Linked DNA regions of Saccharomyces cerevisiae S288C. The gene in region 4 interacts genetically with the main gene of each other region. Each region holds a gene or a part of one and is shown on either strand. Other genes may lie near its edges.

What was found.
Region 1: mutations in SOD2 (region 4) and FUM1 together harm fitness more than expected from each alone (negative genetic interaction), as found in Saccharomyces cerevisiae (2 studies listed by BioGRID).
Region 2: of SOD2 (region 4) and GIS1, changing one suppresses a phenotype caused by changing the other (phenotypic suppression), as found in Saccharomyces cerevisiae (2 studies listed by BioGRID, with this or other methods).
Region 3: mutations in SOD2 (region 4) and ISU1 together harm fitness more than expected from each alone (negative genetic interaction), as found in Saccharomyces cerevisiae (2 studies listed by BioGRID).

Annotation. Positions count from the first base shown.
Region 1 is NC_001148.4:43,393-50,879, reverse strand, and holds FUM1 (fumarase FUM1), read right to left. Parts: upstream 3,545-7,487; coding exon 2,078-3,544; downstream 1-2,077. Other genes in the region: CUB1 (Cub1p), read right to left, coding at 1-1,577; YPL261C (uncharacterized protein), read left to right, coding at 1,576-1,884; KEL3 (Kel3p), read left to right, coding at 4,374-6,329; YPL264C (uncharacterized protein), read left to right, coding at 6,536-7,487. UniProt on the Saccharomyces cerevisiae protein: Catalyzes the reversible stereospecific interconversion of fumarate to L-malate.
Region 2 is NC_001136.10:631,358-640,323, forward strand, and holds GIS1 (histone demethylase GIS1), read left to right. Parts: upstream 1-5,781; coding exon 5,782-8,466; downstream 8,467-8,966. Other genes in the region: aminophospholipid-translocating P4-type ATPase DNF2, read left to right, coding at 1-4,763; mismatch repair ATPase MSH6, read right to left, coding at 8,752-8,966. UniProt on the Saccharomyces cerevisiae protein: Transcription factor involved in the regulation of gene expression upon nutrient starvation. Recognizes and binds to the post-diauxic-shift element 5'-T[AT]AGGGAT-3' in the promoter region.
Region 3 is NC_001148.4:294,219-300,929, reverse strand, and holds ISU1 (iron-binding protein ISU1), read right to left. Parts: upstream 3,378-6,711; coding exon 2,880-3,377; downstream 1-2,879. Other genes in the region: gluconeogenesis transcription factor RDS2, read left to right, coding at 1-1,042; ODC1 (mitochondrial 2-oxodicarboxylate carrier), read left to right, coding at 1,427-2,359; protein phosphatase regulator GIP3, read left to right, coding at 4,283-6,711. UniProt on the Saccharomyces cerevisiae protein: Scaffold protein for the de novo synthesis of iron-sulfur (Fe-S) clusters within mitochondria, which is required for maturation of both mitochondrial and cytoplasmic [2Fe-2S] and [4Fe-4S] proteins.
Region 4 is NC_001140.6:120,410-127,278, reverse strand, and holds SOD2 (superoxide dismutase SOD2), read left to right. Parts: upstream 1-3,688; coding exon 3,689-4,390; downstream 4,391-6,869. Other genes in the region: 60S ribosomal protein eL27 RPL27A, read right to left, coding at 1-166, 728-758; TDA3 (Tda3p), read left to right, coding at 1,599-3,170; YHR007C-A (uncharacterized protein), read left to right, coding at 4,514-4,729; ERG11 (sterol 14-demethylase), read left to right, coding at 5,596-6,869. UniProt on the Saccharomyces cerevisiae protein: Destroys superoxide anion radicals which are normally produced within the cells and which are toxic to biological systems.

The DNA.
Region 1 (7,487 bases), on a different chromosome or scaffold from region 4:
TCAGAACCATCACTTGAAGTAGAGTTCTGTGCTTTTTCCTCGGCTTCCACTTTTAATTCATGCAAGATATCAAAACATTCTGCTAATAAAGCATTCAATATACCTTGGCCTTCAGGTATATTGCCATCAGAGTCATAGAATATACCTTCAGTTCTCAGGTTGTCCAATGAAGCCAATTTCATTTGATAAGGGTATAACTCTCTTTCATTATTCACACCTCCCATTCTTTTCAATTCTAATAGGCAACGACGAACTGTAGATAGTTGATTGTGAATTGGCTGCAACGCTTCAGATACGGGCTCTGAACTTTCCAACAGTTTATAAATTATGGCATAACATCTACGCAACAGGTATAAAAGTATTGATTGCCCCTTTGAGTCCTGAGATTTTGTTGGAAACTTACCATTGATTCTTTTGTTATCAATTTCGTTCAATTTTTTTTGGTAAGAAAATAAATCGGTTTCTCTCAAAGTCCATCTTCTTGTGATCATTAAATTTTCTAAGGTAGTCTTTATATCAATCAGCTGTTCATATATTGGCTGTAAATATGGATCTAAAGTCAACCCGCCATTTTTTTGGTGTGATAAATCGTTAACTAAATCATGGCAATCATCCAATAAACCATTAAGGACACTTTGGCCTTTTTCTGCCACCTGATGAGACTCCAAGGACTTGAATTTACCAGAATCGTCACGATTAGATTCTAATTCACTTAATTCGTTCTTCAAAACTGATAATTTCTCATGGACATACTCTTGAGATACTAAATGTTTGTCATCCGTTAAGCTTTCATTGTTCGTTTGCAAATCATTTTGTTCCTGCAATAAAGAGTTGGTATTAATATCAGATTTAGACATTGTTTTTTTAGCAGATGCAACTAATGACAATAAACCTCTTCTAATTCGGAATAACTTTTCCATTACAGTAGACAAAGACGGATCAATTTCCTCCAATTTGCCTTCCAATATATCATATTCGTCCTTGCAATGCTTTAATTTAGCACGTAGTAATAGGTCTTCCTCAATTTTATTCTTTTTCCTTTCGTTGTCGATTTCCCTTAATCGGTCATCATTTCCATCCTCATCGTACGCAGGACTAGAGTTTTTTTGTTCGACAATCTTGCTGATTTCTTCCAGCCTTTCCTTAATAGGACTCAAATCGTGATGGGTGAAGACGTTTGATTCATTTAAATGTTCCAAAAGACTCTCCACAGTAGATAACGATGCATAAGTCGCAGGTGCAGAATTTTTTAGCCCAACAGTTAAAAAACACAACGAGAGCAATTGAAAGACATCATCCAGTACGGAGTCAACTCTATTATGCAATTCAGTACTATGAATCAGGGTGGCGGCGCTCTTAGCGGGCGTCTCATGACTATTCTTCCTAATATCGTCCAACTCTCTGACTTTGGTCAAGACGTGTTGGTAAGTAGTTTGGACATCCTTAGAGTTCAAATACTGGGTCCTATTTTGCTTGAGTTTAGCCAAGGAGGATCTCACTTCAAGGAGGTAGTTTAATATGGATTCCTCTTCCTTAGGAACAATTTGAGGGTGTTGTTGTCCAGCGGATGCAAACATGCTCTTTTTAGACAGTTATTCTCTTCTAATACAATTTCAGCGTTTTAAAAATTGGGAAAGTCCTCGAAGATTTAGTAGTTCTTTTCCTTTGCTTTTGTTTGTTTTTAAACCGATATTTGCTGCTAAACTTCTTAAAGAGATTTGCTCTTCTGGTGTACTCTCTTATTCGTTATCATTTCTGAAAATTCCCCTTTCCGTGATGCGGGTAATACTAGGTCCCTTACCCGACGACAAGAAATTAAAAAATGACGCAAAATATTCATTTATGAACTATTTTATTATAACTTGTATAGGAATAATAATGTAGTGATGTAAATTTATGGGCCCCATTAAGCCATCAAAAATGGAATGTATGCCTATGCTCCTCTTCTGACATAACTGGCCAGAGGCGGGACCTTAGCGGAGGGACCATTGCTGAATCACAAATTCTCTCCACTTCCTTATTTTCCTTCATATAATAAGACATAAAAAACTTGTATATTATTAGGTATTTAGCTCGTTTATTTAGGACCTAGCATGTGTTCAGGAACAACCCATTCATCAAATTCCTTTTCAGTCAATACACCCAATTCCAATGCACTTTCCTTCAAGGTAATGCCCTTCTTATGAGCATTCTTGGCGACCTTGGAAGCGGCATCATAACCGATCTTAGGGTTCAAAGCGGTGACTAACATTAAAGATTTAGTCAACAACTCATGAATACGAGGCTCATTGGCTTTGATACCTTCAACACAGTGCACTCTAAATGAATATGCGGCATCAGTAATTAACCTGATCGAATTCAATAGATTGGCGATCATGACTGGCTTGAAGACATTTAACTCGAATTGACCTTGAGAGCCGGCAAACGTGATAGCTGCATTGTTACCCATGACTTGCACACACACTTGAGTCAATGCCTCGTTTTGGGTTGGGTTAACTTTACCAGGCATGATTGAGGAACCTGGTTCATTCTCTGGCAGCATTAGTTCATGGTAGCCGCAACGTGGCCCGGACCCTAAGTATCTTATATCTTGCGCTATTTTGAAAAGAGAACAAGCAAGGGTGTTTAGAGCACCGCTACATTCGACAATGGCGTCGTGAGCAGCCAAAGCCTCGAACTTATTAGGGGCGGTTTGAAACTTTAGTCCAGTTTCTTTGGAAATTTGCTCGGCTATCTTGACATCGAATCCGGGCTTGGTGTTCAACCCTGTACCAACGGCAGTACCACCTTGTGCCAGGAAACTCAATGTTTTCAAAGAATGTGCCACTCTTTGGATACCGTTCTCAACTTGTTGCACGTAACCGGAAAACTCTTGACCTAGTGTCAAAGGCGTGGCATCTTGCAAGTGTGTTCTACCGATCTTCACAATATGGTCAAATTCCTTGGATTTGGCTTCAAGGGCGTTCTTTAAATTGGTCAACTCAGGTATCAACTCGTTTTGAATTTGCAAACTGGCAGCGATATGCATGACAGTGGGGAAAGTATCATTGGATGATTGAGATTGGTTGCAATGATTGTTTGGATGGACTTGTTTAGATCCAATCTTGCCTCCTAGGATCTCAATGGCACGATTGGAAATAACTTCATTAGCATTCATGTTAGACTGGGTACCGGAACCCGTTTGGAAAACAACCAATGGAAAGTGGTCGTCTAGCTTACCAGAAGCCACTTCGTCAGCGGCCTGTTGAATAGCCTTGGAGATCTTGGGATCCAATCCCCCCAGAGACTCATTCACAATCGCGGCAGATTTCTTCAAAACACCAAATGCATGCACCAAAGGCAATGGCATTCTTTCACGAGCGCCACCAATCTTGAAGTTTTGAAAGGATCTTTGAGTTTGGGCACCCCAGTACTTATCAGCAGGCACGTGTATCTCACCAAATGCATCGGTTTCAGTTCTGAACGAGGAGTTCATTCTTCTTATATTAAGCTTATATGACGATTTTACGAAAGTCTTGCAACTACAATTGGTAAATCTCAACATGATTGTATCTCTTATCCGTTTAATAGTTAGACTTTATGGAATTTCTTGACGTGAGAAAAAAAACAGCTGCAGTACTAAAAGTCACGAATTTAAAAATGCAAAAAAATGACTGTATGTAATGGAGAAACGATATGAATATCCCAGAAGAAAGAGCTAGAGTCACTCCCCCGTGTGTTCGGTCCGGCCTCCTGTTGGATGCTTGTTTAACGTCTACAACAGTGATGAAGATTATATATAGCCTATAAGAAACGCAAAAAGGCTTTACAGGAAAGAGCCAATCATCGAACGCCCATTCCGGGAATCGGGGTAGTCATTCCGAGGATCGGCTCAGGGGAGGGGCCTGAAGCCTCTCCAATATGGTAGTGATAGCAAGAACTAGAGACATTTACTGCTAGCTTCCATAGCTCTCTAACCACAGGGTACGAATAATAACCATTATTAGGTACTGACATTATGATGTCGCCCGCGGCGATTCGGAAGGGTTTAAGGACACGTCTTAACAAATGGCATTACAGAATGGCTATAGGCGACTCACTACTATGTATTGACTATGTAGGAGATACCAAGCTTTGCTTTACGAGCCCTCTTTACTTTTTTTCTTGTATAGTTATAGTTAATGTAGTAGTCGCAATAACTGCGGTAGTAGTACTAACATCAGTAAAAGTAACGCTTGGTAGTTTTTCTGCCCGGTTTAACCATTGATTTGATGAAATTGTAGAAAACTGAAAAAAAAAAAAAAAATGAAAAAAAAAAATGATGAGCTTCTCGAAGAATACATTAACCACTTATAGGAAGGAGAAGAGATCTACTAGACTCGTAGAAGTGATTAATGGCAAAGAAGAATAAGAAGGATAAAGAGGCCAAAAAGGCACGTGCTGAACTGAAGAATCAGAAAAACCAAAAAAAGCAGGAGAAAAAGTTTCAGAAGAACAAGAATAAGTCTTTAAACGGCGAAGAAGATGATGAAAGTGATCAAGATCTCGATGAAATTCTCTCTAGCTTTAGCAAAAAGCAAATTGAATTAGAGCATGTAGACATCACTTCTGTGGAAAAACCCTCTTGTCGTACTCATCCGTTGATGTTTGCAAATCCGCAACACAATAAACATGAATTGTTCATTTTCGGTGGTGAATTTACAGATCCAGAAACCAAACTAACACATTTCTATAATGATTTGTATTCATACTCCATAAAGAACAACTCTTGGAAAAAATACGTTTCGCAAAATGCACCTTTGCCCAGATCCAGTGCCGCTGTCGCTGTGCATCCTTCCGGAATAGCACTGTTACACGGTGGTGAATTTTCGTCCCCAAAACAATCTAAATTCTACCACTATTCTGATACATGGCTGTTTGACTGCGTTGAAAGGAAATTCACTAAGTTGGAGTTTGGCGGTAGAGACTCTTCACCCAGCGCCAGATCAGGTCATAGAATTATTGCTTGGAAAAACTATTTCATATTATTTGGTGGATTTAGAGATTTGGGGAATGGTCAAACTTCTTACCTAAATGATTTGTGGTGTTTTGATATCTCAACCTACAAATGGACCAAATTGGAGACAAACAGCAAACCTGACGCTAGATCGGGTCATTGTTTCATTCCTACAGATAATTCTGCCATATTAATGGGTGGTTACTGTAAAATCATTGCCAAAAATAATAAAAATTTAATGAAGGGAAAAATCTTGAATGATGCATGGAAACTGAACTTAACGCCTGATCCAAAGAAGTGGCAGTGGGAAAAATTAAAGAATTTCAAGAACCAGCCCTCACCAAGAGTCGGGTATTCGTTCAATCTATGGAAGCAAAACAAGTCCGTTGCTTTTGGTGGTGTCTACGATTTACAAGAGACAGAGGAATCCTTAGAGTCCGTTTTCTATAACGACCTATATATGTTCCACCTAGAGTTGAACAAATGGTCTAAACTTAGAATTAAACCTCAGCGTCAAACGAATAGTAAAAATTCACCCGCCACAAGTAAAAGAAAATCTAATAAAGATCAAGAAAAGGAACTGCAGGATTTACTAAATTCCATTCTGGCCAAGTCTAATCTAAATGACGACGACGATGACAATGATGACAACAGCACAACGGGTCCTAACTCTATCGATGACGACGAAGATAACGAAGATGACAGTGATTTGGACAACCAAGAAGATATTACCATCTCAAATCAATTACCTCACCCAAGATTTAACGCAGCAACTTGTGTAGTGGGCGACTCGTTGTTCATTTACAGTGGTGTCTGGGAACTGGGCGAAAAAGATTATCCTATAAACTCATTTTATAGTATAGATTTGAACAAGTTGGATGGTGTCAAGGTTTACTGGGAAGACCTATCTGCCATCGAAGAAGCAAAGAGACTAGGTGATAGAGATTCGGACGAAGATGAGTTTGAATACGAGGACGATGAGGAGGATGAGGACGACGGCGAAGAGGAACAAGATGCAGGACCCCTTGAAGGTGATGAAGATGAGGAAAGCGAGAGCGACGATGACAAACAAGCGCAGATGGAGATTCCAGACGAAAGGTCTTGGCTACCACACCCAAAACCGTTCGAAACTTTAAGAGCATTCTACTTAAGGGAAGGTGCAAATTTCTTAACCTGGTCTATTTCTAACAACAGAAACCTTAAGGGTAAACAGTTAAAGACGAAGTCATTTGAGTTATGTGAAGACCGTTGGTGGGAAAGAAGAGATCAGGTGACCCTTGAGGAAGAGCGTCTGGAGGATACAGGCGGAATCATTGAAAGAGATACGACTACTAAACCTTCCAAAAGAAGGTAAACATTTTCGCTTTTGTAGTTGAGTTTAAAAAGTATTTATAGCATTTTTTTTTTTTATAGATATCTGTCTTCCATATGGCATCCTTTTCTTTAGTCACTAATTGAGTCATCTGGAAAAAAAAACAAAGGAGACAGGGAAAATTATCTCATTATTACATTCACGAAAGCTGCCCCAACAGAAAAGTAGAATAAACACCTCCTCTCTCAATGACGCTGCAAAGAATTAGTAAAGATTATCTAAAGCCTAATTATGGACTTATCTTACTTATAGTGTCTTATTTTTTCAATTCTTCTATGGTAGTTTCTACCAAAGTCCTAGAAAATGACCCACTGGAAACTTCGCAATCAAGAATTAATCCTCTGCAAATCCTGCTAGTAAGGATGTCTATCACGTACTGTTGTACGCTAGTATACATGCATTGGAATAAACAAAGTGTTCCAGATATTCCATGGGGCCCAGCACCATGCAGGAAATGGTTGATACTCCGAGGTATAATGGGTTTTTTTGGTGTTTTTGGAATGTACTTTTCTTTAATGTATCTAAGTATAAGTGACGCTGTCTTAATCACCTTCATGTCGCCAACCCTAACCATTTTCCTTTCATTTTTACTGCTGGGTGAGCCATTTAGTAAACTTGAAGCCTTGGGGTCCCTAATTTCATTTTCTGGAGTGGTGTTAATTATTAGACCTACATTTTTGTTTGGTGAGCAGACCCAAGGCCAGCAATCTCCACAAGACGATATTGTTGAGACTCAAAATCCCAAATTAAGACTCATTGCTATCGGGGTGAGTTTATTGGGGGTTTGCGGATTGAGTAGTGTTTACATTATCATAAGATATATCGGTAACAAGGCACATGCCATCATGAGTGTCAGTTATTTCTCGTTGGTTACTACTGTTGTGGCAGCCCTCGGTGTGCTTCTAATTCCCTCGATGTCTTTACAACTGCCTCATTCGTGGAAGCAGTGGGGGCTATTTCTGAACTTGGGTATTTCTGGATTCATTCACCAAATTCTGTTAACAATGGGAATCCAGAGGGAGCGTGCAGGAAGGGGTTCGTTAATGACTTATACTCAAGTTATATATGCTGTTTTCTGGGATGTCGTGCTCTTTCACCACTGGCCAAACATATGGACGTGGTGCGGTATGGCAGTTATCG
Region 2 (8,966 bases), on a different chromosome or scaffold from region 4:
TGTCGTCCATGTCACCATTTGACGATAGTTTTCAATTTGAAAAACCCAGTAGTGCGCATGGAAATATTGAAGTAGCGAAAACCGGCGGTTCTGTTTTGAAGCGACAATCTAAGCCAATGAAAGATATTAGCACACCCGATCTCTCAAAAGTTACTTTTGATGGAATCGATGATTATAGTAACGATAATGATATTAATGATGATGATGAACTCAATGGTAAAAAAACCGAGATACATGAACACGAAAATGAGGTGGATGATGACCTCCATTCGTTCCAGGCAACACCTATGCCTAATACTGGAGGCTTTGAGGATGTTGAGTTGGATAACAATGAAGGTAGCAACAATGATTCCCAGGCAGATCATAAGTTGAAAAGAGTACGTTTTGGTACAAGAAGAAATAAGTCAGGTAGGATAGATATAAATAGGTCAAAAACATTGAAATGGGCCAAGAAGAACTTCCACAATGCTATTGATGAATTCAGTACAAAAGAAGACAGTCTCGAAAATTCAGCCTTGCAAAATAGGTCTGATGAGTTGAGAACAGTTTACTATAATTTACCCTTGCCGGAGGACATGCTTGACGAGGACGGCTTACCGTTGGCAGTTTACCCGCGTAATAAAATCAGGACTACGAAGTATACTCCATTAACATTTTTTCCCAAGAACATTCTTTTCCAATTTCATAATTTTGCCAATATTTACTTTTTAATACTGTTGATTCTAGGTGCTTTTCAAATATTTGGTGTGACAAATCCAGGTTTTGCATCCGTTCCCCTAATTGTCATCGTAATTATCACTGCTATTAAGGATGGTATCGAAGATTCCAGAAGGACTGTATTGGATTTAGAAGTTAATAATACAAGAACACATATCTTAAGCGGGGTGAAGAATGAAAATGTTGCTGTTGATAACGTTTCCTTATGGAGGCGTTTCAAGAAAGCGAATACAAGGGCATTGATTAAAATTTTTGAGTATTTTTCAGAAAACCTCACTGCTGCTGGTAGAGAAAAGAAGTTACAGAAAAAAAGGGAAGAATTACGAAGGAAGAGGAACTCGAGAAGCTTTGGGCCACGTGGGTCTCTGGATTCAATTGGTAGTTACAGAATGTCTGCCGACTTTGGTCGTCCCTCTTTGGATTATGAGAACCTGAATCAAACAATGTCACAGGCTAACAGGTATAACGATGGTGAAAATTTAGTTGATCGAACGCTACAGCCAAACCCTGAATGTAGGTTTGCCAAGGATTACTGGAAAAATGTTAAAGTTGGTGATATTGTTCGTGTTCACAATAACGATGAAATTCCTGCTGATATGATCTTATTATCGACATCAGATGTTGATGGCGCTTGTTATGTGGAAACCAAAAATTTGGATGGTGAAACAAATCTAAAGGTCCGTCAATCATTAAAATGTAGCAAGATTATTAAGAGTTCAAGGGATATTACCAGGACGAAGTTTTGGGTTGAAAGTGAAGGCCCACATGCCAACTTGTATTCTTATCAAGGTAATTTCAAATGGCAAGATACACAAAATGGAAACATCAGAAATGAGCCTGTAAATATCAATAACTTATTATTGAGAGGTTGTACCTTGAGAAACACTAAGTGGGCCATGGGTATGGTTATTTTTACTGGTGACGATACCAAGATTATGATAAACGCTGGTGTCACTCCAACCAAAAAATCCAGAATTTCAAGAGAGTTGAATTTTTCTGTGATTTTGAATTTTGTACTATTGTTTATCCTATGTTTCACTGCTGGTATTGTTAACGGTGTTTATTATAAACAGAAACCTCGATCGAGAGATTATTTTGAATTTGGTACCATTGGAGGTTCTGCCTCAACTAACGGTTTTGTTTCTTTTTGGGTGGCGGTTATTCTTTATCAGTCATTGGTTCCGATCTCTTTATATATTTCTGTGGAAATTATTAAGACAGCACAGGCTATTTTCATTTACACTGATGTTTTGTTGTATAATGCCAAGCTAGACTATCCATGTACACCAAAGTCGTGGAACATCTCCGATGATTTGGGTCAAATTGAGTATATTTTTTCAGATAAAACAGGCACCTTGACACAAAATGTGATGGAATTCAAAAAATGTACTATTAACGGTGTGTCTTATGGACGTGCCTATACGGAGGCACTAGCAGGCCTGAGGAAGAGACAAGGTGTTGATGTCGAATCGGAAGGTCGTCGCGAAAAGGAAGAGATAGCAAAAGATAGGGAAACAATGATCGACGAATTAAGATCAATGAGTGATAATACACAGTTTTGTCCGGAGGATTTAACTTTTGTATCTAAGGAAATTGTGGAAGACTTGAAAGGATCCAGTGGCGACCATCAACAAAAGTGCTGTGAACACTTTTTGCTGGCGCTCGCATTATGTCATTCTGTCCTTGTGGAGCCAAATAAAGATGATCCTAAAAAACTGGACATCAAGGCTCAATCACCTGATGAGTCTGCCTTAGTTTCCACCGCCAGACAATTAGGGTACAGTTTCGTTGGTAGTTCAAAAAGTGGATTGATAGTAGAGATCCAGGGTGTTCAAAAGGAGTTCCAAGTTCTGAACGTACTTGAATTCAATTCGTCGAGAAAAAGGATGAGTTGCATTATCAAGATCCCTGGCTCTACACCAAAGGATGAACCTAAAGCACTGTTAATATGTAAAGGTGCGGATTCCGTTATCTATTCAAGATTAGATCGCACTCAAAACGACGCTACTTTGTTGGAAAAGACGGCCCTCCATTTGGAAGAATATGCCACAGAAGGTTTAAGAACATTATGTTTGGCTCAAAGAGAGCTCACGTGGTCCGAGTATGAACGTTGGGTTAAGACTTATGATGTGGCCGCTGCATCCGTTACTAATAGGGAGGAAGAGTTGGACAAAGTTACTGACGTTATTGAACGTGAGCTTATTTTGCTTGGTGGTACGGCCATTGAGGATCGTTTACAAGATGGTGTTCCTGATTCGATTGCCCTCTTGGCCGAGGCCGGTATTAAGTTATGGGTCCTAACGGGTGATAAAGTGGAAACTGCCATTAACATTGGTTTTTCCTGCAATGTTTTGAACAATGATATGGAATTATTGGTTGTGAAGGCTTCCGGCGAAGATGTAGAAGAATTTGGTAGTGACCCTATTCAAGTGGTTAACAATTTGGTGACAAAATACTTAAGGGAAAAATTTGGCATGAGTGGATCCGAGGAGGAGTTAAAAGAAGCTAAAAGAGAGCATGGTTTGCCACAGGGAAATTTTGCTGTCATTATCGATGGCGATGCGCTAAAAGTTGCTTTGAATGGTGAAGAAATGAGACGCAAGTTCTTGCTACTGTGTAAGAATTGTAAAGCTGTTTTGTGTTGCAGAGTTTCTCCAGCACAAAAGGCTGCAGTGGTCAAGTTGGTAAAAAAGACCTTAGACGTTATGACCTTGGCCATTGGTGATGGTTCGAATGATGTAGCCATGATTCAATCGGCGGACGTTGGTGTTGGTATCGCGGGTGAAGAAGGCAGACAAGCTGTCATGTGTTCTGATTATGCCATCGGGCAGTTCAGATATGTGACAAGACTGGTATTGGTGCATGGTAAATGGTGTTATAAGAGACTGGCAGAGATGATCCCACAGTTTTTCTACAAGAACGTTATTTTTACGCTATCCCTGTTCTGGTATGGTATTTACAATAATTTCGATGGGTCGTATTTGTTTGAGTATACGTACTTGACATTCTACAATCTTGCATTCACATCCGTACCTGTTATTTTACTAGCAGTACTCGACCAAGATGTTTCCGACACCGTTTCGATGCTGGTGCCACAGTTGTACCGTGTGGGTATCCTAAGAAAAGAATGGAACCAAACCAAATTTCTTTGGTACATGTTGGATGGTGTATACCAATCTGTGATATGCTTCTTTTTCCCCTATTTGGCGTACCATAAAAACATGGTTGTAACTGAAAATGGCCTTGGACTAGACCACCGTTACTTTGTCGGTGTCTTCGTTACAGCAATTGCAGTCACTTCATGTAACTTTTACGTCTTCATGGAACAGTATAGATGGGACTGGTTCTGTGGCCTATTCATATGTCTATCACTGGCCGTGTTTTACGGCTGGACGGGTATATGGACAAGCTCGTCGTCAAGTAACGAATTTTACAAGGGTGCGGCGCGTGTATTCGCACAACCTGCCTATTGGGCAGTACTTTTCGTTGGCGTGCTGTTCTGCCTACTGCCAAGATTCACCATTGACTGTATCAGAAAGATATTCTATCCGAAAGATATAGAGATCGTTAGAGAAATGTGGTTACGCGGTGATTTTGACCTCTACCCACAAGGCTACGACCCTACGGACCCTAGCAGGCCCAGAATAAACGAAATACGTCCCCTTACAGATTTCAAAGAGCCCATTTCACTGGACACTCATTTTGATGGTGTCAGCCACTCACAAGAGACCATAGTCACAGAGGAAATACCAATGAGTATACTCAATGGTGAGCAAGGCTCGCGCAAGGGGTACCGTGTCTCTACCACTCTGGAACGCCGTGACCAGCTCAGCCCCGTTACAACAACGAACAACTTGCCTAGAAGATCAATGGCCAGTGCCCGCGGAAATAAGCTCAGAACTTCGCTGGATCGCACAAGAGAAGAGATGCTTGCCAACCACCAACTGGACACAAGATACTCCGTGGAAAGAGCACGTGCCTCGCTGGATCTGCCGGGTATCAATCATGCAGAGACGCTGCTCAGCCAGCGCAGCAGGGACCGTTAATGATTACAATTTTTTTCTTCCTTTGTACTATGTATACCAATGTGATATGATATAGATTTCATATAGGATGTGATGATGTGTATCACCCGGCACGGCTCTACCCCGCCCTGTGGGGTGTGGAGAAAACGCCGCGCAGAGCCTTGAGTAGGAAGGGGCTGGGTTCTCCCCTTCCTGCCGGGGTCCGCCCGGCGCCAAGAGTAAGAGAGCGAAGCCGGAGACGTAATATGAAAAAAATTTTGAGGGGAAAGGGCGTCCGCAAGGGCAAGGGCAAGGGGAAGGGGTGGCGTTTTGTGCTTCAAGGAATTATATTTCGTTGTTTTCCGCACTATGGCGGCATTGTGGCAAGTAACTACTTTACGGAGAAAGACTAGAAAATGGTTACAACTGCCACTATTACCGCTTCGCATTCTCTTGTCTTACAGGTCCCTTGAATTGGCATTTACGTTTACATCCGATCCGGTTTTTCACCAAAGAGAAAGGAAAGGAAAGGTAAAAATAGCAAACCGAAAAAGAAAACAGTATTTTCTCTCTGTTTAGGATTATTACCACTACTTACTGAAGAGAAGTTTTTAACGTTTATCGTTTGTGTTGAGGTAGAAGTACAAACGCGTGTGTGAGTTGTGTATTTGAAATTATTATCCTTCTACGCATATCGGGAAAAAGTTAACGGAAAAAACAAGAAGAAAACCTCCCCCCTCCTCCTCCCGCCATACAGAAGGCAAAAGAAGTTGGTCTGTTAGGAAGAAAATAGCCAAGTAATAATACGTTTGGCCAGTTGTATTTTTTTTTTGTTTCGCTAAGTCTCTTGCTTACAGAAACTCTTTGCCCACCACATATTTCATCGTTTTTCCTTTCTGTTCATCATTAACCTCCATTTCCCAATTTTTTCCAATTTTCAATTTTTTTCACTATTTGTTTCTTTGTTGGGCGTTTAAAAAGTATTTGCTTCTACAAAGTGAACAACATCGTTGTAATTTTTTTTTTTTAATTTGAAGAATAGCTACAAAAACAGACTACAATGGAAATCAAGCCAGTTGAGGTTATTGATGGCGTTCCGGTTTTTAAGCCGTCTATGATGGAGTTTGCAAATTTCCAATATTTCATTGATGAAATTACTAAATTCGGAATAGAAAATGGTATTGTCAAAGTCATTCCTCCCAAAGAATGGCTGGAGCTTTTAGAAGGCTCACCTCCTGCGGAAAGTTTAAAGACTATACAACTAGACTCCCCGATTCAACAACAAGCCAAGCGATGGGACAAACATGAAAACGGTGTATTTAGCATCGAAAACGAGTATGACAATAAGTCGTACAATTTAACACAGTGGAAGAACTTGGCCGAAAGTCTAGACTCTCGAATAAGTCAAGGTGATTTTAATGATAAAACTTTAAAGGAAAATTGCCGCGTAGATAGTCAGCAGGATTGTTATGATTTGGCACAGTTACAAATTTTAGAAAGTGATTTTTGGAAAACCATCGCTTTTTCGAAACCTTTTTATGCAGTGGACGAAAACTCTTCAATTTTCCCCTATGATTTAACTTTATGGAATTTGAATAATTTGCCAGATTCTATAAACTCAAGTAACAGACGGTTACTTACTGGTCAGTCTAAATGCATTTTTCCATGGCATTTGGACGAACAGAATAAATGCTCTATAAACTACTTGCATTTCGGTGCTCCCAAACAATGGTATTCCATACCGTCCGCAAACACAGACCAATTTTTGAAAATTTTATCAAAGGAACCATCAAGTAATAAGGAAAATTGTCCAGCTTTTATTAGACATCAAAACATCATAACTTCTCCCGATTTCTTGCGAAAAAATAATATAAAATTTAATAGAGTGGTGCAGTTCCAACATGAATTCATCATTACTTTCCCTTATTGCATGTACTCCGGATTCAATTATGGTTACAATTTTGGCGAATCTATTGAGTTCATATTAGATCAGCAAGCTGTCGTTAGAAAGCAACCTTTAAAATGCGGCTGTGGAAACAAGAAGGAAGAGCGAAAATCTGGTCCGTTTTCAAATTTATCTTATGATTCTAATGAGTCGGAGCAACGAGGCTCCATTACTGATAATGATAACGATTTATTTCAAAAAGTTCGAAGTTTTGATGAATTACTAAACCATTCCTCTCAAGAGTTACAAAATTTAGAAGACAATAAGAACCCCTTGTTCTCCAATATTAATATGAACAGACCGCAAAGTAGTTCTCTTCGGTCTACTACCCCTAATGGTGTAAACCAGTTCCTGAACATGAATCAAACTACCATAAGCAGAATTTCTTCCCCGTTGTTATCAAGGATGATGGACTTATCAAATATTGTGGAACCCACTTTGGATGATCCGGGTTCCAAGTTCAAAAGGAAAGTTTTAACTCCGCAATTACCGCAGATGAATATTCCGTCTAATTCTAGTAATTTTGGCACCCCTTCTCTAACTAATACAAACTCCTTACTATCTAATATAACGGCTACATCAACCAACCCATCGACAACTACAAATGGCAGCCAAAACCACAATAATGTTAACGCCAATGGCATTAACACCTCTGCAGCCGCATCTATCAATAATAACATTAGCAGTACCAATAATAGCGCTAATAATAGTAGTAGTAATAATAACGTTTCCACTGTGCCTTCTTCAATGATGCATTCGTCCACTTTAAATGGGACTTCAGGTCTAGGCGGCGATAACGATGACAATATGTTAGCTTTAAGTTTAGCGACACTGGCTAACAGCGCTACTGCGTCACCAAGATTGACGTTACCGCCGCTGTCGTCACCAATGAATCCGAACGGCCACACCTCATATAATGGCAATATGATGAACAACAACAGTGGTAATGGTAGCAACGGTAGCAACAGCTATTCTAACGGTGTGACTACGGCTGCTGCCACAACTACATCAGCGCCTCACAATCTATCCATAGTGTCCCCTAATCCAACATACAGTCCGAATCCCCTATCTCTTTATTTGACCAACTCCAAAAATCCATTAAATTCAGGTCTTGCACCCTTATCACCTTCAACATCTAACATCCCATTTCTCAAGAGGAATAATGTGGTTACATTAAATATTTCAAGAGAAGCTTCAAAGAGCCCTATATCTTCTTTTGTAAATGACTATAGATCTCCGTTGGGTGTAAGCAATCCACTCATGTATTCTTCCACAATCAACGATTATTCAAACGGTACTGGAATTCGCCAAAATAGTAATAATATTAATCCCTTAGATGCAGGTCCATCTTTTTCTCCTCTCCACAAAAAACCCAAAATACTCAACGGTAATGATAATAGCAATCTGGACAGTAATAATTTTGATTACAGTTTCACGGGTAACAAGCAAGAATCTAATCCATCAATCTTGAACAATAATACTAATAATAATGATAACTATCGTACATCTTCAATGAACAATAACGGCAACAATTATCAAGCGCATTCTTCTAAGTTCGGTGAAAATGAGGTCATTATGTCAGATCATGGTAAGATTTACATTTGTCGGGAATGTAATAGACAGTTTTCCTCTGGTCACCATCTAACAAGACATAAAAAGTCAGTTCATTCCGGTGAGAAACCCCATTCTTGCCCAAGATGCGGTAAAAGATTCAAGAGAAGAGACCATGTTCTGCAACATTTAAATAAAAAAATTCCATGCACTCAAGAAATGGAAAATACTAAATTAGCTGAATCATAGGTCAAGAAAATGATATACAAAATGGGTTCAAAAAAAATTTTTATCGAATATTTTCCTGTAATAATATTGTTTCTTTTAGAAAAATTTTGGTTTTCTATAATATATTTATTCTCCATGTTTTAATTTTCTCAGCTATTAATGTTCAACTTATTCCTTATAAATTTGTCATTCATTTTTCATATATATCGTTAATATATAATCTTTGCCTGTTCTGAATCCTTTTTCAACGACCAAAACTTTAAAAAAAATAAGTAAAAATCTTACATACATCGTAAATGAAAATACTTAGGATTGTAAATCATCAATTATACTAAATAGACTTTTCAAAACGTTCCTTTTTATGTTCCAATCATAGTTCAAGACCCCTTCACCAGAACCTAATTTTGTATTCTTCAGTCCATCTCCGTACGCAATTCGAACGAAATCACTTTGTAAGCCACCTGGCACAGAGACAACTTCACCATTCAAATTATTTGCAGCTAAATCACGTTCTTTGACTA
Region 3 (6,711 bases), on a different chromosome or scaffold from region 4:
ACTGTCACCGAAACTAGACTCCTCTCTTGTAAATGATACAACCAGCTTGCTGCTTCCGCAACAACCTGTATTTGTGTCCGAGAATGTTGGTTCGGAATTCAGTTCTTTGAATGAATTTCTTTCTATGCTAGAAAATCCTCTATTGACTCAAACATCACTAAGTTCCAGCAGTGCGAGCAATGTTCATTTGGAAAATGGCTCACAAACCACACAATCGCCATTAGAGTACCAAAACGACAATCGTAGGGATGAAATAGGAGTGGCAAGACAAGAAAATAGGTCGCCTACTATTATGTCAGGTTCTTCCAATAGTATCTCGAAAGGGGATAAACAAGATCAAGAAAAGGAAGAGTCTCGAATTCTAGCGAATGCAAACGAAAACAGTGCACCGACACCGAAGGAACAATTCTTTTTAACAGCGGCGGATCCGTCAACAGAGATGACACCAGAACACCGGCTGAAGTTGGTCATAAATGCGAAGCTTGAAGCAGGATTATTGAAGCCGTATAATTATGCCAAGGGGTATGCAAGACTACAAGACTACATGGACAAATATATGAATCAGTCTTCCAAGCAAAGGATTCTGAAACCACTATCCACCATTAGACCGGCGTTTAGAACCATTGCGCGTTCATTGAAGGATGTTGACTTAGTTTTAGTGGAGGAGAGCTTCGAGAGGATGTTATTATCTTATGATCGTGTTTTCACCTCTATGAGCATGCCAGCGTGCTTGTGTAGGCGTACCGGTGAGATTTACAGAGCCAATAAAGAGTTTGCTTCACTGGTTGACTGCACAGTCGATGATTTACGCGATGGAAAGCTTGCGATCTACGAGTTGATGACAGAAGAAAGCGCTGTGAATTTCTGGGAAAAATACGGGTCCATAGCGTTTGATAAGGGTCAGAAGGCTGTTTTAACAAGTTGTAGTCTTCGAACCAAAGATGGAATCCGCAAACGGCCATGCTGTTTTAGTTTCACTATCAGAAGGGATAGGTACAACATCCCAATTTGCATCGTCGGGAATTTCATCCCTTTGTCATAAGCATAAGTAATACATAGTAGGTAATTGGTATTTCCAGCGTCATTAAAAAGCAAAGTAACGGGTTTACTTTTTCCTCAAGCCGCTGGCCCGAGCAGTTACTTGAAATAGCCGTATTACTACGAGCAATACGAAGACCTTTTTCTACCAGCATTTGTTTTTTTTCAAATCATTCCCATTATTACCCCAGGATCTTTTCATAATGCGGCGACCAGAGATAGGGAAAAAAACTGCGAACTGGCTGAATCTGATTTGGCGAAGGGCAGATTCTCGGGTATTTCTGTGAGGGTGACCGCCGTTGATATATATCAGTGACTTTTGGGAACCTTTATCTCATTTATTCTCAAGATAGAACTGTAACGAGGGTGAAAGAAAAAGAACTGTAAGATGACATCTATAGATAATAGACCTTTGCCGTTCATATACCAGTTCACAGCCGGTGCCATTGCCGGCGTCTCGGAGCTATTGGTGATGTATCCATTGGACGTGGTGAAGACAAGAATGCAATTACAAGTGACAACCAAAGGTCATCCCGCTGTTGTTGCAGCGAAAGCAGCAGTAGATCACTACACGGGCGTGATGGATTGTCTTACAAAAATTGTGAAGAAGGAAGGATTTTCGCATCTTTACAAGGGTATCACATCGCCTATATTAATGGAGGCTCCGAAAAGAGCAATTAAGTTCTCCGGAAACGATACATTCCAAACGTTTTATAAAAAGATTTTCCCCACGCCCAATGGGGAGATGACTCAAAAAATCGCCATATACAGTGGTGCGTCCGCTGGCGCCGTGGAAGCCTTTGTCGTCGCGCCTTTTGAACTAGTGAAGATTAGATTACAGGATGTGAATTCACAGTTCAAGACACCCATTGAAGTTGTAAAGAATAGTGTTGTGAAAGGTGGTGTTTTGTCACTTTTCAATGGGTTGGAAGCCACTATCTGGAGACACGTTCTTTGGAATGCCGGTTATTTCGGTATAATATTCCAAATTCGGAAGCTTTTGCCGGCGGCTAAAACAAGCACGGAAAAGACCAGAAATGATTTGATCGCAGGTGCTATTGGTGGCACTGTCGGGTGCTTGTTGAATACACCATTTGACGTGGTAAAATCTAGGATCCAAAGAAGTTCCGGGCCGCTGAGGAAGTACAACTGGTCCCTGCCTTCAGTGCTGTTAGTTTACCGTGAGGAAGGGTTTAAAGCATTGTATAAGGGATTTGCGCCAAAGGTCATGAGACTTGCCCCCGGTGGTGGGTTATTGTTGGTAGTTTTCACGAACGTCATGGATTTTTTCAGAGAAGTCAAGTATGGTAAAAAACAATGATCCTGACGCTTTTTATTTCATTTTGTTGTAGCCCGCCCATACATGTATACGTATATATATATATATATTTATTGGAAGTAAAAGTAAAAAACTCGCTTACCTAGCACATGTTTAAACAAGCGTTGAAATGAAGGAAATAATGAAAGTCTAGTTTTGTCTAGCGATAAATAGTGTTAATTAAAACAGCCTTTTACAACTAAAGAATATTTATATAATAATGATGCCATATACCACACATGGGAAAACAAATATATAAGGGGGAAGTGGGAGGATGAAAAAAGAGTAATGAAAATACTAGTAGTACCAGGTGAGGTAAAACAAGCACGTCCGTCCCGCTTTCACCCTGGAGAAATATATCTAGGAAGATATGCATGAGAAGAGGGAGAGAAAGGAAATGCTAGATTAAGGGAAAGAAATATGACAATATTAATGAGAAACATCCATGCTTGCACAAATTAAGTCCAACTTGTTGATTAGTGAGGGTTTGATCTTGTTCTTGTCCCGGTTATCTTCTTATTCATTACGATAACATGGTTGGAGTGTTTCTCTTAGATTTGTAGTCCTTAATAGCTGCCTTGATCGCATCTTCCGCTAACATAGAGCAATGCAACTTGACTGGGGGCAAGCTCAACTCCTTAGCAATTTCAGTGTTCTTAATTTTTGCCGCATCGTCCAAGGTCATCCCCTGTACCAATTCAGTCATATATGAAGAGGAGGCAATGGCGGAGCCACATCCAAAAGTTTTGAATTTGACATCTTCAATAACGCCAGTAGAGTCGTTGACTTTGATCTGCAACCTCATCACATCACCGCACGCTGGCGCACCCACTAGACCAGTGCCGACGTTGGGCAATTTTTTATCTAATGAGCCGACGTTTCTTGGATGTGTATAATGCTCTATGACCTTGGGATGATAAAGCCTTTTCGTTATGCTGGACGCTCTCAAAACCCCCATGGCATTCACAGGTCTGATGGCCATCAGAGCAGGCCTTGCAAATCTCGTTATAACAGGAAGCATCAGGTTAAATATGTGTTATGTGTTGTGTTTTCCTTATTCAATTGTTATATGAAGGGATGTTCTTATGGATTTAAGAATAATCTCTGAACACAAATATATATGCGGAAGAGCGAAGGAAGAGAGCAGAAAAGGCTACAACGAAACCCTTTCATTTACTTATATAAATAGCCTGAGTCATTTTTCCTCTCAATTTTTGCATCATCATGATCATACATGCTTTTTTTTTCCTTCTCCATGGCTAATTGGGGTGCAACGCACCTTATCGCCTTTGACGGCCTTGGCTAAGCGGAGATAAAGCCTCCGAACTTCGGCCCCGAAGGGATTGGCGCGGATATACACGGAAATAGCTTGTCATTTTTCCTTCGGTTGATGTCCGCGGACCGAGAAGTGGTGTTTCCACATTACGTCTCAGTGATGCAATCATCATGGCACGGGCATTAATTAAGGTTAAGGAACCACTTCTCTACGCCATACTCCAAACAATAACAATATTAGACCTAGCCAATTGATACCCATGAGCGTGCAGTCATTGCCATGGATTATTCATCTCTTTTCGCTGTTCTCTTTCTTTTCAAGTTTGTCATCATCATGCCTTCACTTTTGCCTTTCCATCTTTCTTTTTGCTGCAAAATAAAGGGAAGAGGGGTAAAAACGCAAGGAAGAACAAGAAGAAGAGGGTAGTGCAAGAAAAAGAAAAGAAGAAAAAAAAAAAAAAGTAATCTTGATACCGTGAGCAAATAAGCTAACGGAAAGCGTAAGAAAGAAGAGCGTGTTTTGGGAAATAACACCACAGCATAAAGCTAAAATTCAGTTTATATAATCTATAGTAGTCCTATAGAAATTGCGAATAACGGAAACAATAGTCCACCAAAGCAAGCATAGGGAGTGGAGATAGCATCTAGGTTATGATAACTAACACCGAGTTCGATGTGCCCGTAGATTGGTTGTATAAAGGTAAGAGTAGACGGAAGACAAATACGAAGCCATCGAGGCCTTCTACGTCGCCAGCCTCCTCTTCATCTACGTCCTCTTCGAAAAACGGAGACAATAGCACGAGTGGTAACAGGTCTAGCAATGATAAGCCTCGTGCGAGGTCGTCATCTGTATCCAATGCAGCACTTTGTAATACTGAGAAACCAGATTTGAAGAGGAACGATGGTAATACCTCTGCATCAGACACTGATAACATACCGCTACTTACTCCTATTAATAGCGGTAACCGGAGCGATTCCGCTGACATTGATAATCCGGCTACCGTAGACGCCATAGACCTTATAGATAATGATGACAACGGCTCAAGTACTCAATTTGTAAGGAAAAAACGTTCCACTTCTATATCCAATGCTGTGGTCTCGTCCAAACCAAGACTGGCCAGTTCTGCCATAAACGCCACCGCATCTTCTTCTGTTGGCAAGGGAAAGCACCCGCCAATTTCTTCACCATCTAATGCTACTCTCAAGAGAAGCAACTCGACTAGTGGAGAAAAGACTAAAAGGTCGATTTTTGGATCTTTGTTTAGCAAACGGTCTACCTCTTCTTCAGCTTCCACTGCCAAGAAACCATTACCTGTTGTTAATACTAGCACGACTGAGAATGAGTCTGGTGGCATTAAAGCAGTTGCGACTCCTGATCCACGGGTGAAGGAGATATCATCACCAATGAGAGGAGTGGCACCAACAGCTAGCAAGCCACAGACACCTATACTCCCCTCCCCTGCACTTGCAGTAAAAGACCTATCTACAGTTTCATTGAAAAGGGTCTCGTTTGCCGTCGATAAATTCGAATCCGATCCTCCCCAACAACTTCCTTCAAGAACCCCAAAAAAGGGAAACATCCTTATCCCTGATGACATGATAAGCGAGGTTCCTTCTATTTCCGTGGGTATTTCCAGTAGCAACCAATCGGCCAAGTCAACCAATTCCAACATTAAGGGACCGTTGTACACTAAGAAGTCTAAAGAATATATACTCGCCCTGGAAAATCAAAAGTTGGCTTTAAGGGAGGCTGCTAAGCATCAGCAAGAAGCTCATTTTGCTGCTAATAGAATAGCCTTTGAAGTAGCCAATTTTAAGACTGCTTCGGATGCAGGCGGTAAGCTTACTGAAAAGTCATCAGAAGGCACCATTACGAAGCAAAGAGAAGAGGTGTCACCTCCAAATGTTGAAGCTGATCGGGAGCTTGAGAATAATAAACTTGCAGAAAACCTCTCAAAAGCCGGCATTGATAAGCCCATTCATATGCATGAGCACTATTTCAAGGAACCTGATCAAGATAAGTACCAAGACGGTCATTCTATTGAAAATAACGAAGTTACGCTGGATGTTATTTACACAAGATGCTGCCATTTAAGGGAAATTTTACCCATTCCGTCTACCCTAAGACAAGTAAAGGACAAGACAGCTCCCTTGCAAATATTGAAGTTTTTGAACCCTAAGCCTACCTTGATCGATATTCTTTCCTTTTGTGATTTCATCACCATTGCTCCCATTCACACGATTGTTTTCGACAATGTAGCTTTAAACCAGGATATGTTCAGAATAATTATTTCTGCTTTGGTAAACTCCACAGTTTTGGACAAATTGAGTTTAAGAAATGTACGAATCGACCAAGATGGATGGAAATTACTATGTAAGTTCCTTTTGCTAAACAAATCACTGAACAAGCTCGACATTTCCCAAACGAAAATCAAATCTGACCTTGCTGAATCACTATATCGCCATAACATGGATTGGAACTTGTTTACTGACGTCTTGTCTCAGAGATCTCACAAACCTATAGAAGAATTGTTATTCAATGGTATTCAATTTAGCAAAATTCCTTACTCATGCTTTGCACGTTTACTGACATCCTTTGCTACCCAAAAAAACTTTCCAGAATCGGGCATCAGGCTTGGTTTAGCAGGTGCCACTACTTCCAATATCTCTCAGGATTGTCTGAAATTTATCTTCAATTGGATGTCTCAATATAACGTCCAGGGTGTGGATCTAGCGTTTAATGATCTGTCCACTATGATTAAGCCAATGGTTGGTAAACTATCTGCTCTATCATATGATAACTTAAGATATTTCATTTTGAACAGCACTAATATTTCGACTTCTTATGATTTAGCTTTGCTCTTGAAATATCTTTCTAAGTTGCCTAACTTGATTTTTTTGGATTTGAGTAATTTGTCGCAATGCTTTCCTGACATTTTACCCTACATGTACAAGTATTTACCAAGATTTCCGAACCTGAAGAGGATACATTTGGATAGCAATAATTTGACATTAAAGGAACTAGCTGTCGTTTGTAATATTTTGATTAAGTGCAAATCGCTCTCGCATGTGTCAATGAC
Region 4 (6,869 bases):
GTTCTCTTAGCAACCTTCTTGGCACCGTGCTTCTTGGTGACCTTCAATGGGTATCTTTCAATACCGGCAACCAAAGCGTGACCAAATGGGTGAGACTTGGAACCTTCATCATGTGGTTTAACGATAACAACCTTCTTACCGGCGTAACGACCACGGACAACGACAGCTGTGTAAAAAAAGGAAGGAAAAGAAATAGTTAGTAAATGTGAACCCTTCTTAAAGTTTGGCGAATTCTCAATTTTGTTCTTCAATACTAGGGAGAGAAAAATTATCATAGGCCCACGAATTTTTAATAGGGCATGGAAAGAACTACAGTAAATAAAAGGCCCTGGTCGCCTGCGTACATGTGCCTATGGTCTTAGCAAATATATCGCGGAACTTTCACCATCTTATTTGGTGGCTATTGATGCTTTTTTCTTTTAAATTACAACTTTTTGATAACCCTTCCACTGCCTCGTATAGCTCAATGAATATGAATAATCGTTAGTTTCGCTCCTAAATCATTCATCTTTTTGTCCAATATTTCTATTAATAAGCTATCATTCAAATTTAAAGGTTTTTTCCCAGATCTAACATCTCCACGCTTTTTCCTCCCTACTCCCATATGAAGATACAATACTCGAATTCAAACTCAAATTATACAACATCAACTGCTAATAACTTGGATTTCTAATACCACAGTTGCACGGTTTTTTGTTGATGTCCAAAAACTGAAAATGATACGTACCAACTTTACCAGCTTTCAAGAACTTAGCCATTTTTTTCTTTGGTTATGCTTTTGTTTTAACACGTTGAGACTATCTAAGAAATTCTAAAAATCTAATATATCTTTAATTTTAGCTCAAAACTACGGCAGTATGTTTTACATGAACGAACACTTTACTAGTGAAAAGAATTTCAGGAAACCTGCCTTCGGGCGAATCTCTGCAGCAAGAGCGTAGGCGGAGCTCTGCTGGAAAGACTTTGTCTCAGACAGTTCTGTCGTGATGGGAGAACTGAGCGGATCACTCCCATTAGTTTGAGAGGAACTTCTCTCCGCAGCCTTGATTCTGCCTCGGGACTCCACCTGGAATATTGTTATCGGCTCTTTCAAGAAATACAGGACTCATAAGGTGAAAAAAAAAAAAACAGTGTAGGTGCAACAGCAAAAAATGTAAAGATGTAGGTGTACGGATGCATTAACGTCTTTCGAGGCCCTTTCCATTCTTCCGTGAAAAATATTCACTGAACGTATAATATGAGACGGTTCCGTCCGAGTCCCCTTAGCTGGAATCGTGTAAGCCAATTTATCAATACATGCAGCCTTGGTGCTTTTGTGCGTCTATCCCCTACATGCATAAGATTACGTATGAATGAAAAAAGCACGACATAGAAGTGAAACCATATCTGTAACCTGGCACACGTACTACAAAAGTTATATTGTTCCTTTTTTTTTTTTTTTTTTTTCTATTGTTAAATCAAGACTTAAAAAAAATCAGCCAACAAGTAATTCTGTTTGATAGTTCAAGTCACTCAGCAAAAGATTTTCGTGCTCTCCAATACACCATCTAAGTATCAATAGCATTTTAACCAAGCAACAGAAGGAATAGTGTTTATAAATGGGTGAAGATTTTATGCACCCACCGTTTCAAACGTACCCTTCAAAGAACAGCGAAGGGAAAAAACATATTGTCATTGTAGGTGGCGGTATCATCGGTTGCTGTACTGCTTACTACTTGACCCAGCATCCAAGTTTCAGCCCTTCGACGCATCATATTACCATCATTGAATCGAGGCGCATTGCTGGAGGGGCTTCTGGTAAAGCAGGTGGCTTGCTTGCATCTTGGGCTTTCCCTCACCAAATCGTACCTTTAAGTTTCCAGCTACATCAGGAGTTGAGTGATGAATATGATGGAGAAAACAACTGGGACTACAGAAGATTGACGACTGTGTCCTTAGAAGCAGATGTTCGCGAAGAAGTCATTGAAAACTACGAAAGACTGAGCAAGAAGGCATATAATCTGAATGTCCCTCCTCCAAAGAAGAGACCGGGCTACATATCCAACAAGTTTAACATCGGGGACTCTAATTCATCTTTGAGTTCTTCGGGCTCTTCTTTGAAAAACGACTCCGCTAGTAACGAGGAAGAAGGATCAGACATTCATGTTTCTAGCTCAGTACCCAGTTTACACTCTCTAACAAATGAGCGCATGAGAAGCCACACAAATAGCGCATCTGATCTTGACTCTGTAAGTCCCGTGGAGCAACTGAGAGAGACTAATATCCATAATCCTTTGCCTGCTGATTTAGATTGGATAAGAAGAGAATTGGTTAATGATTGGTCATCACTAGGTGGTACTGATACCACAGCGCAGCTTCATCCCTATAAATTCACCCATTTCATCTTATCGAAGGCAATGGAAACAGGTGCTGTCGATCTTCTCCTAGGTAAGGTAGTTGGGCTAAAGTGTGACGAGATGGATTGTGTTCATTCTCTTAAGTACCTTCCATCTGTCGTCAAGAATCGCAGAAATAGCAGAGGGCATGCAGAAAATCCAGACATTAAGCTGGGTACAATCTTCAACGATGAGAACGCGAAGCCCATTGAAATCAATGACATCCAGCAGATTGTTTTGAGTATGGGACCCTGGACTTCCAAGATTCTAAAAGATTGTCCAATTTCTGGATTGAGAGCCCACTCTGTCACCATTAAGCCTAGTGAAAAGACAGTTTCACCTTACGCTATTCTTGCTGAACTAAAAGTTAACGACCGTGAATTTTTCTCCCCTGAAATGTATGCTAGAAAAGATGAAGTTTATGTGTGCGGCGAAGGCGACACTTTAGTCAATATACCTGAAAGTTCGGACGATGTGGAGGTAGTTTCGGAGAAGTGTGATGAATTGTACCATTACGTATCCAAATTATCGCCAACTCTATCAAAGGGCCATCTCTTGCGGAAACAAGCCTGTTTTTTGCCAGTTTTAAACGTTCCTACAAGTTCTGGTCCCTTAATTGGTGAGACAAATGTCAAGGATCTTTATATTGCAAGTGGACATTCTTGTTGGGGTATTAACAATGCGCCAGCAACAGGTAAATTAATGGCTGAGATTCTCCTTGATGGCGAAGCAACCTCTGCGGAAATCTCAAGTTTGGATCCAAAGTTATATTTCGACGCCACCATCCTTTCTTAATCAAGCCGAGGAGTAAAAAGGTCAAGAAAAGTATATGCACAAATTTGTACATATAAGAGCTTATTTATTTATATATTTAAAATTTCTGAGGCCATTTAATGTGTATATATTTAACGAATACCTAAATCTATATATTTCTTTTTTTTTTTTCTCTCTCTCTCTCTCTTTCTCTTTCTCTCTTGGCGTCTATCCTGTTTGCCCTTGCGCATGCTACCGATTGCACGTGTAGTATTCTACTTGAGGTTGAGCTGATTACTAATTGCTATTATCATTGTTGGCGCGACCTTAAACCTGGACCAATAACACAGGCCGAACCACTAGCTTCGCAAAAAAAAAAGTAGGGATGTGCCGAAAAATTTCCGCGACCGTAGCAGACACCCCTGATGAAGAAGCTATAACTTGTATATAAGAGCGTTGCATCCCCAAAATATACAAGCTAGCTACAGCGATTGCTTTTCACTTGCTGCTACAGGAACGAAACCCCAATTGATAACTATACCTCCTAAAAACGTACCAGGATGTTCGCGAAAACAGCAGCTGCTAATTTAACCAAGAAGGGTGGTTTGTCATTGCTCTCCACCACAGCAAGGAGAACCAAAGTCACCTTGCCAGACTTGAAGTGGGACTTCGGTGCATTGGAACCTTATATCTCCGGTCAAATCAACGAATTGCATTACACCAAGCACCATCAAACTTATGTGAACGGATTCAACACTGCTGTTGACCAATTCCAAGAACTCTCAGATCTTCTGGCCAAGGAGCCCTCTCCCGCAAACGCAAGAAAAATGATTGCTATCCAACAAAACATCAAGTTCCATGGCGGTGGTTTCACAAACCACTGTCTATTCTGGGAAAACCTGGCTCCAGAGTCGCAGGGCGGTGGTGAACCACCCACCGGCGCTTTGGCAAAGGCAATCGACGAGCAGTTTGGCAGTCTGGACGAGCTGATTAAGTTGACCAACACAAAGCTAGCAGGCGTGCAGGGCTCCGGATGGGCCTTCATTGTGAAAAACCTCTCTAATGGAGGCAAGCTGGACGTTGTTCAAACCTACAACCAGGATACCGTCACAGGCCCACTAGTTCCTCTAGTTGCCATTGACGCCTGGGAACACGCCTACTACTTGCAGTACCAAAACAAGAAAGCCGACTACTTCAAAGCCATTTGGAATGTGGTCAACTGGAAAGAAGCATCCAGAAGATTCGATGCTGGCAAGATCTGAAGAAAGAAAGAAAGAAAATACCTTTTTTTTTCCACTGTGTCGTTTTTATTCTAACTACTCTACTAAATCACACAACCACACTCCCCTATTTAATAATATATTTTACTATTAAAATACATATACATGCATCGTAAAAAAAGAAAAAAAGAAAAGAAAAGAACCGAAAAAGACAATACAACCAACCTTCCTCCACTTTTTCTTTTTCCTTGTTCTCTCTCGCTTCCTACGTTACTCGCGCCTGTGCACTACATTCCCACCAGATTAACTCACCACCAGGCAGAGAACCAATTGTTCTTGTTATTGTTCCAACCGATAATTGTAAAGCCATTAAGGTCGTAAACGACTGCTTACTCAGGGAGATCTCCGAAAACGGCAATTGCTGTGCACCGTGCGACGTTATGATCGCCGCCTGTCCCGTACAGACGAACAATTGCAACAATGGGCGGTTGTTTAGAGAGGTTTTGTGCCGCGCCCGGGAATTACCGGGGGCACAGCAAAATACGAAATTTCCGGCAAAATGTCTCTGTACGAAAATGAGGCCAGCCTTTATTCCCGACTAAGCCGTACGATTATAGTAATGTCACACGAAGTGGATACTATACGAGCAGCGCACATACAATGTGCGTGCAAGATTTGCCGGGTTGGACAATCTTAAAGGCCGATAATCCACGAAAAACGAGACAAACGAAGCGCTGGCCCTAAACGAAACGAAACGAAACTAAGATTTCAAGATAATCGCTTTTCAGATGACAATAGTCTCTTGCAGAACACAATAAGTGTGGTAGGTATCTTGCAGGAGACATCGATTTTATGCCTGAATTTTTTTTTTTTCTTGGTATGAGCACATCCTATTGTGCATCTCCACGAGTTAACGACGTTTACGTACTCGCATGTATTCGAAAAGCCTCTAAAAATTGCCCTCCATGTGTATTCATTATATAAGATAGCGTATTTTCCCTTAGTTTTCTTATTCCCTCTTAATTCTCTCTTTCAATGTCTTTTTTTTTTTCCCTTTTCCTTTTTCCCTTTTCGTTATTGGTAAATTATTTATAAAAAGATTGATAAGCAGTATCGTTCAGCGTGTGTATTTTCGATAGGAAGTAATAATTTTTCATTATATTAATTAATAGTTTCCAGAAAAAATTTTTTTTCCTTCACAATTGCAGCAGGCTTGAATAGAAACAGAACAAACGAGTAATACAAGGATGTCTGCTACCAAGTCAATCGTTGGAGAGGCATTGGAATACGTAAACATTGGTTTAAGTCATTTCTTGGCTTTACCATTGGCCCAAAGAATCTCTTTGATCATAATAATTCCTTTCATTTACAATATTGTATGGCAATTACTATATTCTTTGAGAAAGGACCGTCCACCTCTAGTGTTTTACTGGATTCCATGGGTCGGTAGTGCTGTTGTGTACGGTATGAAGCCATACGAGTTTTTCGAAGAATGTCAAAAGAAATACGGTGATATTTTTTCATTCGTTTTGTTAGGAAGAGTCATGACTGTGTATTTAGGACCAAAGGGTCACGAATTTGTCTTCAACGCTAAGTTGGCAGATGTTTCAGCAGAAGCTGCTTACGCTCATTTGACTACTCCAGTTTTCGGTAAAGGTGTTATTTACGATTGTCCAAATTCTAGATTGATGGAGCAAAAGAAGTTTGTTAAGGGTGCTCTAACCAAAGAAGCCTTCAAGAGCTACGTTCCATTGATTGCTGAAGAAGTGTACAAGTACTTCAGAGACTCCAAAAACTTCCGTTTGAATGAAAGAACTACTGGTACTATTGACGTGATGGTTACTCAACCTGAAATGACTATTTTCACCGCTTCAAGATCATTATTGGGTAAGGAAATGAGAGCAAAATTGGATACCGATTTTGCTTACTTGTACAGTGATTTGGATAAGGGTTTCACTCCAATCAACTTCGTCTTCCCTAACTTACCATTGGAACACTATAGAAAGAGAGATCACGCTCAAAAGGCTATCTCCGGTACTTACATGTCTTTGATTAAGGAAAGAAGAAAGAACAACGACATTCAAGACAGAGATTTGATCGATTCCTTGATGAAGAACTCTACCTACAAGGATGGTGTGAAGATGACTGATCAAGAAATCGCTAACTTGTTAATTGGTGTCTTAATGGGTGGTCAACATACTTCTGCTGCCACTTCTGCTTGGATTTTGTTGCACTTGGCTGAAAGACCAGATGTCCAACAAGAATTGTACGAAGAACAAATGCGTGTTTTGGATGGTGGTAAGAAGGAATTGACCTACGATTTATTACAAGAAATGCCATTGTTGAACCAAACTATTAAGGAAACTCTAAGAATGCACCATCCATTGCACTCTTTGTTCCGTAAGGTTATGAAAGATATGCACGTTCCAAACACTTCTTATGTCATCCCAGCAGGTTATCACGTTTTGGTTTCTCCAGGTTACACTCATTTAAGAGACGAATACTTCCCTAATGCTCACCA